2 linked regions of the Schizosaccharomyces pombe genome follow. The gene in region 2 interacts genetically with the main gene of each other region. Each region holds a gene or a part of one and is shown on either strand. Other genes may lie near its edges.

Evidence for each region. Genes that interact genetically often act in the same process or in processes that back each other up.
Region 1: mutations in psf3 (region 2) and cdc45 impair growth when combined (synthetic growth defect), as found in Schizosaccharomyces pombe (one study listed by BioGRID).

The regions. Positions count from the first base shown.
Region 1 is NC_003424.3:4,723,148-4,727,346, reverse strand, and holds cdc45 (DNA replication pre-initiation complex subunit Cdc45), read right to left. Parts: upstream 2,576-4,199; 5' UTR 2,545-2,575; coding exon 925-2,544; intron 884-924; coding exon 587-883; 3' UTR 501-586; downstream 1-500. Other genes in the region: Golgi zinc importer, CDF family, Cis4, read left to right, coding at 1-487; pex7 (peroxin-7), read right to left, coding at 2,947-3,709, 3,839-3,971. UniProt on the Schizosaccharomyces pombe protein: Required for initiation of chromosomal DNA replication. May have a role in regulating the MCM proteins nda1 and nda4.
Region 2 is NC_003424.3:527,224-530,717, reverse strand, and holds psf3 (GINS complex subunit Psf3), read left to right. Parts: upstream 1-1,841; 5' UTR 1,842-1,946; coding exon 1,947-2,045; intron 2,046-2,092; coding exon 2,093-2,151; intron 2,152-2,176; exon of another isoform or gene 2,177-2,257; coding exon 2,258-2,392; exon of another isoform or gene 2,393-2,448; coding exon 2,449-2,594; exon of another isoform or gene 2,595-2,653; coding exon 2,654-2,715; 3' UTR 2,716-2,936; downstream 2,937-3,494. Other genes in the region: saccharopine dehydrogenase Lys3, read right to left, coding at 1-196; SPOM_SPAC227.17C (uncharacterized protein), read left to right, coding at 552-917. UniProt on the Schizosaccharomyces pombe protein: The GINS complex plays an essential role in the initiation of DNA replication.

The sequences.
Region 1 (4,199 bases), 4.2 Mb from region 2:
TCATCACTGTCATCATCACCATGAAAATCATAATATGCATGGCATATTTCTGCATATTATCGCAGATACTATGGGCTCTGTTGGAGTTATTGTCTCTACTATATTAATACAGTGGTTTTCATGGACCGGTTTTGATCCTTTGGCATCTCTAATAATTGCTGCATTAATATTTGTTTCTGTACTTCCATTAATTAAAGATTCGGCGAAGAATTTGCTCTCTGTGACTGATCCAGAATCGGAATATTTATTGAAGCAGTGTTTGTCGAACATCAGTTTAAGTAACTCCGTTATCAGTTTATCCAACCCTAAGTTCTGGACAAACGAAAGAGGTGAAGTGTATGGAATACTCCATATTCAGGTGAGCATAGACGGTGATTTAAACGTGGTTCGTAATGAAGTATTTAGGAAGCTCTCAATCGCTGTACCAAATTTAAAACACATTTGTATACAATCTGAACGGCCAAACAATTGCTGGTGTGGAAAATAGTTCTTACATCAGTTGATATCCATACTTATTTACGTGTAATTTTAATTAGATGAATTAATATTTTCTTTATTAGCAAAATTCCCATTATTTACCCAATCTTTATAATAGTGTTTTGAAGGACAGACTTTCTAAAAAAACCCCGAGGTCACTTTTTTGACACTCAATCACACTTGCTTCAAAACAGTCCATTTGCAAAGTAGCAGATGTCATGTTTGCAACCTCTTGAAATGCAACTCCAAAACGATTGTGTCCATGACCGTCGTCATCATCGTCATCTTCATTGCTAGTAAAAGCGGAAGTAGAAGTTCCAACTATTAAGTACCTATTTTTTTCCTCTACAAAAGCTGCTAAAACAAGAGGAAGATGTCTAAGCTTTCCAAATTCTCGTTCTTGCTCCTTCAAGTGTTAGTCAAACGTTAAAATCAATAGACACTTACATTAATAGCTTCAGCAATCCAAAGACTCATCTTTGTTAACGCAAGGGGATGCATAAATATTTTCAGATCTGGTCCTTCGTTGATAAGTCCAAAACGAAAAGATCTCAACGTTTTAATGGCTCTTTTTTCAAGTAAGGTGATTCCAGTACGAACAATGGCTCTTTGTAAGTGCATTGCTAACTTCAATGCTCTTTCTAATGAATCGACATCGTCCAAGGCGTCGTATGCATCATAAAAATTGTGCAACCATTCTTGATTTTGAGCATTTTCAAACTTCTCCAAATATTCTTCCTCCGTCATATCCGGGCTTCGAGCGACAGTTTTGCTTTGAAGCAAAACACCTGTATTACCCATTTCTAATAATGCACTGATAGCATAAGAAACGTCACTTGCACTAAGTGTACATTTGAATCCATAAGTCCGAGTAAAACTATGGAATATCACATCGTCTAAACCATAAAACGGTGCAAATCTTTTAAGACTACTTTTCAAAGTTTTTTTTAAATCCATGTTCATGTGAATATAAGTTTGTTTACACTCCACCAGACTGAGTCCCATTTTTGCAAGAAGCTTATGTAGTCGTTTGCGTCCTTCCTCGCTCCAAATGTGAAGTCTCGAACCAACGTAAGCAGAATGAAGCATAGAATCATAAAGACTCCAATGTCTTACTAGCATAAAACGAAATTCATCTTCAAGCCGAATTGACTGATCATGGGGTGTCTTACCATGTGCGCGACCGACTATTTGATTTTCAAGTGGTGAAGGGTTCAAGCGATTGACTTCATCTTTCAATAAAGAATAGGACCTATTGAAGTATTTTTTTGAGGATTGGCAGTGAATTTCCAAGCAGGTGAGCCCAACAATCGCTAACCACAACATGTCATTATCCTCACGTCCAAGCATGGATGCTACTGCAAACAGGATATTGGTAATTGACTCGCCGTACCAACTTCCTTTCTCATAATATTCAGAAAGGATAGAGGCGAACTCTTTCCGTTTTTTCCTTTTCTCCTTAATTTCAGCTCGACGTTGCGTCGTTTCCTCTGAAAAACGCCTACGACTTCGTGCTTGATAATCGGATGAGCTGTAAGATTCCACAGATCGGTTGTCATCTTCGACTTCCTCCTCTCGCTCATTACTGGAATCGGAATTTTCTTCATCTGATAGCTCATGCGAATTAAATGCATACCAAGCATCATGAATTTTATTCATGTCTTCTTCAATATCTCCATCGTCGAAAACAAAAATATTGTTTTCAATGTATATATTATTTAGATTATGCGGCCTATGAGAATCAATTACATAGATAGATACGTCTTCCATAGAAACAAGATAATTATTTAGATCCACCATCGTTCCACAATTCAAAAGTATAATGAATTTGATATCTTCATTTTGCTCTAGCAAAGTTTTATTTGCTTGTTCAAGGTCTCGATAGCCCGATACAGGCCTAATTTTATGTGAAATAAAATCGCCTTTCAAAAGTGTGGACAATAGCTTGCATGCACAAAGCGCGTCTGGGTCTAAAGCAACAAAGAGCTGAACTGTGCATCCACCAGATACACTTGCTTCTTTAATTTTCAAGTAAGCAGAGGCGTAATCGGATCTCTTGATGAACATTAATAAATAAACGTTACTGGTGGTGGATCATGGAGGAAATTACCAGGTGGTCAGTACAAAGGAAGGTAAAGCACTTTGAGTCGCTTTATATTTCCTAAACAATAGCGCATTAATATACAAGTCAAAGCTACGCAATAGTAGTTACAAAAAAAAGAAATTTTTGTAGGCATTGCAAACAACCCTTTCTCATTTTATGCCAAATGCCAAAAATCATATTATAATTACTCTAGTTACTAAATTTTTCACTTGAGCTACCTAAACTATCGTAAAAATAATTTGTAATCGCTGTTTTCTGGTGATATAATCCAAGGTGAACATGTGCACAACGAATTTATTCCGAGCGTTCGAACATTTCGTCTTTGAATCAGTGTAATAAAATCTTAAATTAAAAACAGCAGCAACTTAAAATGCGTTCCATATATACAAAGATTCGTCCCAACCAACACTTGCAATCCAAGATCCATCGCCGAAATCACTCCAATCAACATCACGGACAAATTCAGAATGCAAATCAACTTTTCTTATGCAAGAGTGCTGTTCCGGGTCAAAAATTCGAGAAGTCATATCGTAACTTGCTGTAGCCAAAAGATCATGGGCGGAATTGGACGATTTTATACTTCGAACAGCAAGTTGGTGACCAGACAATACGGACAGAGGCGTCTTTAAATTCGCGATATCGTAACAGTAAACCAGATTGTTATTGTCGGCCGTGTAAACCATACGATGATTAGACTTGCTCCAATTCATGCAAGTAATTTGATTCGGTATTTCAATGGACATAAATTTATCGGAAGACCGGAAATCCCAAAATTTGCATAATCCATCACTTGATGTATACCCGAGTAAATTTGGAGAGCTATAATGTGTAGCAACTGTAAGAATCCTTGAATTCGAACCATTGTTGAGCGTCTGCACACTGTTAGGCAAATTGCCTAACCATAATTTGATAGTCCCATCCCAGGAGCCCGTAACTACAATTCTTCGATCAACCGTATTTGTGTCTATTGCGACAATCTCCGCTTTATGCTCTTTCCATTTATGGATGGGCTTAGAGGGCATAGTCAAATCAAATAGTCTCAAAGAACCATCACCACAGCAAGCGTAGACTTGATTTTCACAATTCTGAGACCAGCGCACACCAAACAAAGAATCCTCGACATCATAGCTAGTATTTAACGTTAGATAAATTTCATTTCGTAGGATTTAGAGACTGTTTTCATCATAATAACTAATGGTTAAAAGTGTTTTGTGCAAAAGTCTAATAATGAAGAGCAGTAATCGCACAATTACTTACTGTTGGCAAACTTGAATTCCTTTTGGCGTAACATCATGAATATAAAGACGTCCGCTTCCGCCTAATCCATAATGGGTGACAGCTGCAACAGCGATCTTGTTTTCGACAAGTGGAGAGAATTGAACACTTTCACCTAGCGAATATTGTTAGTAACGATGTACAATTATGCATTCCAAGATATTTATTTTGTTTTGTTTTCTTTTTTTTTTTCCAATAAAAAGGAAGGAAAATTAAAAGGAAACAAAACAAAACAAAACAAAATAAAATAAAATATAAACAAAATAAAGAAAATATTCAGTAATAACAAAATTTCGTATTTCTACATCATTTGAATTTAGTTTAGTTATAGTTCGGTAATATT
Region 2 (3,494 bases):
GTCGCCATGAGCCCTCAGGAACCATGGGGAAACCAAGGCGCTCAAATTCTTTGTCCTTGAAAGCACGTTGGGAAGAGCGCTCAATGGTAATTTGAAATCCAGCATCGGCGAGTATCTTGGCAGTTCTAGGAGTCAAAGCACTGCGCTCTTCTAAAGGTTTGGTTTCAGCACGTAACCAAAGATGAGGAGCAACCATTTTGGAACAGAAAATTAATTAAATATATATTTTTAAATCGAAAAAGTATTTCAACGTTTTTAAAAACTTCCCTTTCTAAGTTAGTCAAAAAAATTTAAACTAACAAAATGAAGACGTGGCGAAGGAGACCAAAAACTTAATCAAATAAGTTTATATACTGCAAATTGGCAAAATAATATAGATCAATCTCGATATAAATGAGATCAAATTTGATGCGGTCAATTTACAGATCAGCAATGATATGAGCAGAAGGGATCTTGATGGATCTAATACGCTACACAGGTTCAGTGGCAGTCACGTTAGCTACCTATCCTAGGCACAATTCACTTGATTTTTACTAGTATGCTTTTAAATAATGAATAATTTTAAAGAAAATGATGAAAAAAGCACTTTTGGTCAGTATGCGGAACTAGATAAAATACTCGACTTGAAAAAAGGGATTCCTGAGGATCCGTGTAGTTTACAGTATTACTTTGACCAAATGGCCATGTGTTTAACAGTGTTCTCACAAATGAATCATTACTATCGTTATGGTGAATACAACAGATGTAAGGGAAATTTTAAAGACTTTAAATGGTGTCTGTCAACCAAGTCGAAGGCTCACGAAGAGGCTCAAGAAGGGCTTCGTAAGCGGCGTCTTCAGCAGTGGATGAAGTTTAGGCAAGGGCCGAATAGTGAAGACATTTGGAAGATGCGTACTTCTCCAAAAAGTAGTGAATAAGTTTTTAACGTTTCGTGCTGTGTTCACCAAACGTCGATATCAATTCTTACGAAGGCATCCATTTGTTGCGTATAACATTGGGGGAATAGCATATTTGATGATGTCTTGGATGTAAAGTTCCTGTATATCCTAGTCTGCTTAACCTTTGAAACTAATTGTTTATAGTTGGCGGGGTACTTCTATTTAATTTACCTTCCAAGTAAACTCTGAGTTCTCTTTAATTTTATGAGTAACTAATTAAACGAACAACAAATTGTTGCTTTGATTTTACAACATTGTTTGGCAGCAGGTTGATTATTTACTCAGGTAAAGATTGCTGATAAACTCGAAGGTGTTGACATCTAAAGTATGGATTAAAGCGTATATGACTTGATGAACCTGTTGATGAAACTTGGCGAATAACTTATGAAATTTGGCCTATGTCGGTGTTAAAACCTTTTTGCATTTGGAAATGACATACTAAATAATTAATACGCAAAATAATTTTGAATACAATGCAATCATGTTTTGTAGATTACGGACTAAAAATCATTTAAAAAAATCAGTTTTACGGAAAGATTGTGTAAATTTTGATCGCATAATGAGCAAGTTTCATAAATAGGTATAACATTCAAACAAGCATATGCGTTTCTTTAATGAAACTATAGAACAAAGTTTCCTTTTTTTAATAAAATTTTTCGACCAATTTCAGAAGGACGAATATACACATGTATGACATACTTTTCGAGTTAAACATTGAAGCAAATTTTTAGTACTCGAACATACAATATTTATCAGCACTAATTTTTTGAACTAGATGCTCTGTTAAGAAAAGTAAAAATAAATCTTTTTTATCTCTATTTTTTTTGTTGATTAGTACTGGTGTAATTACAGTTCATTATTTATCCACTATATCTTAGCCAACTCAAATTTGAATTTATCGTTGCATCTACCTACTTTTACCTTGTAACTGCAACTTTTCTAAATGAACATATTTTGATAAAATAACAATAACACTTCTATCATTCCTTCTGCTCAGACATTAAAAAAATGGATTACTATGATATTGATAGTATCTTGTCTGAAAATCAAAAGGTTCCATGTACTAGTACAGTTTCCATTCCAGGACTAGGCCATGAAGGGCGTATGGTTAGTGAAGTTTATAAAAATAGAACTTGACTTTCTAAACAGTTTAGGTTCCTACGGGCTCTAAAGTTGAACTTCCTTTTTGGCTGGCAGAGGTTTTAGCAATTAAGTAAGTAAAGTTTTTTTTTTTTTTTGGTTTTTTCTGCATGTTACATTATATACATGTAATGTCTTATAGAAAATTGGATAATTTTGCTTATTTGCTTACTTTATAGTTCTTTTGTTAGTATTCATATGCCAGCACCATTTTCTTCTGTAGTACGAAATGCATTAAAGGCGAATCCTAATAGTGTATCTATTCGGGACATAACCACACATTATTACCATTTTGCCGAGAAAATGCTCCATTTGTAAGTCAAACTTTACACGTTTTTCTCAAATTCAAAATCTTACTAACTCATTGTAGAATATCAGACGACAGCTTGGTTCAAATTTCCCTAAACACTTTACGTTCCAGAGCAATGCTGATTGCAGATGCGTCCCTGAATCCTCAAGGTGCTTTACAACAAAACTCACAATTCATTGAGGGTTTGGATGACTTTGAGAAACACAGTATGTTCATTCTAGCCTTTAAAAGATTCAGTAGCTAACAAAAGCTCGTGCTGCCACAGTATTGAGAGTATCACATAATGCCCATCGATCCCTAATAAACTGGCAAAATTCCACTTCGTAGTTGATTGCATGCTGCGAGACGAAATTGCTACCCAGAATAGCACGCTAATCTATATGTGAAACACTAAATGAGTGTTGATCGTAAATCCCTTCTGTTCAAAGAAAAAAGAAAAGAATCCTTAACATATACTTGTTCAATATTACGTTTACTTACAAAATTAGCTTTTGTTTGTCAGATTGACATTTTCATTTATGATTAACTTTATAAAAACTCTAGAAGATTCAAACTATAGAACTAAAAAATGTTAATAAACGAACCGACACTAAAAATTAGAGGTCGATATATAAAGTACATTCAGAAAAAGCGCCTTGTCACAGGCAATCTTCGTCAATGTAGAAACTACGTAGACCGTCGTGATTAAAGTAAAAACATCATGTGAACTAAAATTCGACCTCAAGCTGATCTACTTACCTATACAAAACAGCCTCCTTAACTTCAGTGTATCTAACTAGTTTAAGGTCTTGCAAATACGTTAGAAAAGTTGTTTTAACACGAAAACTTAGGACATGGAAATATATAACTTTAGGTTGTCTATAATCAGACGCATTTCACTTCTTCAAAACCAATGGCATCAGACATATGCTTGTCTTTGAAATTTAATAAATCATCCTAATAATACCCTAAAGTACATATTTGAAGTCTAGTTTTCAATTAAGTTTTGGATACCTTTCATGAATAACCTATAATTATGTTAGTAAAATATTGGCATAGATTTAGGTTAAAAATTTGTTCTCTCAGTTAGCATGAATGGAATTTTAAGAGTCTTTTCTTCATATTGA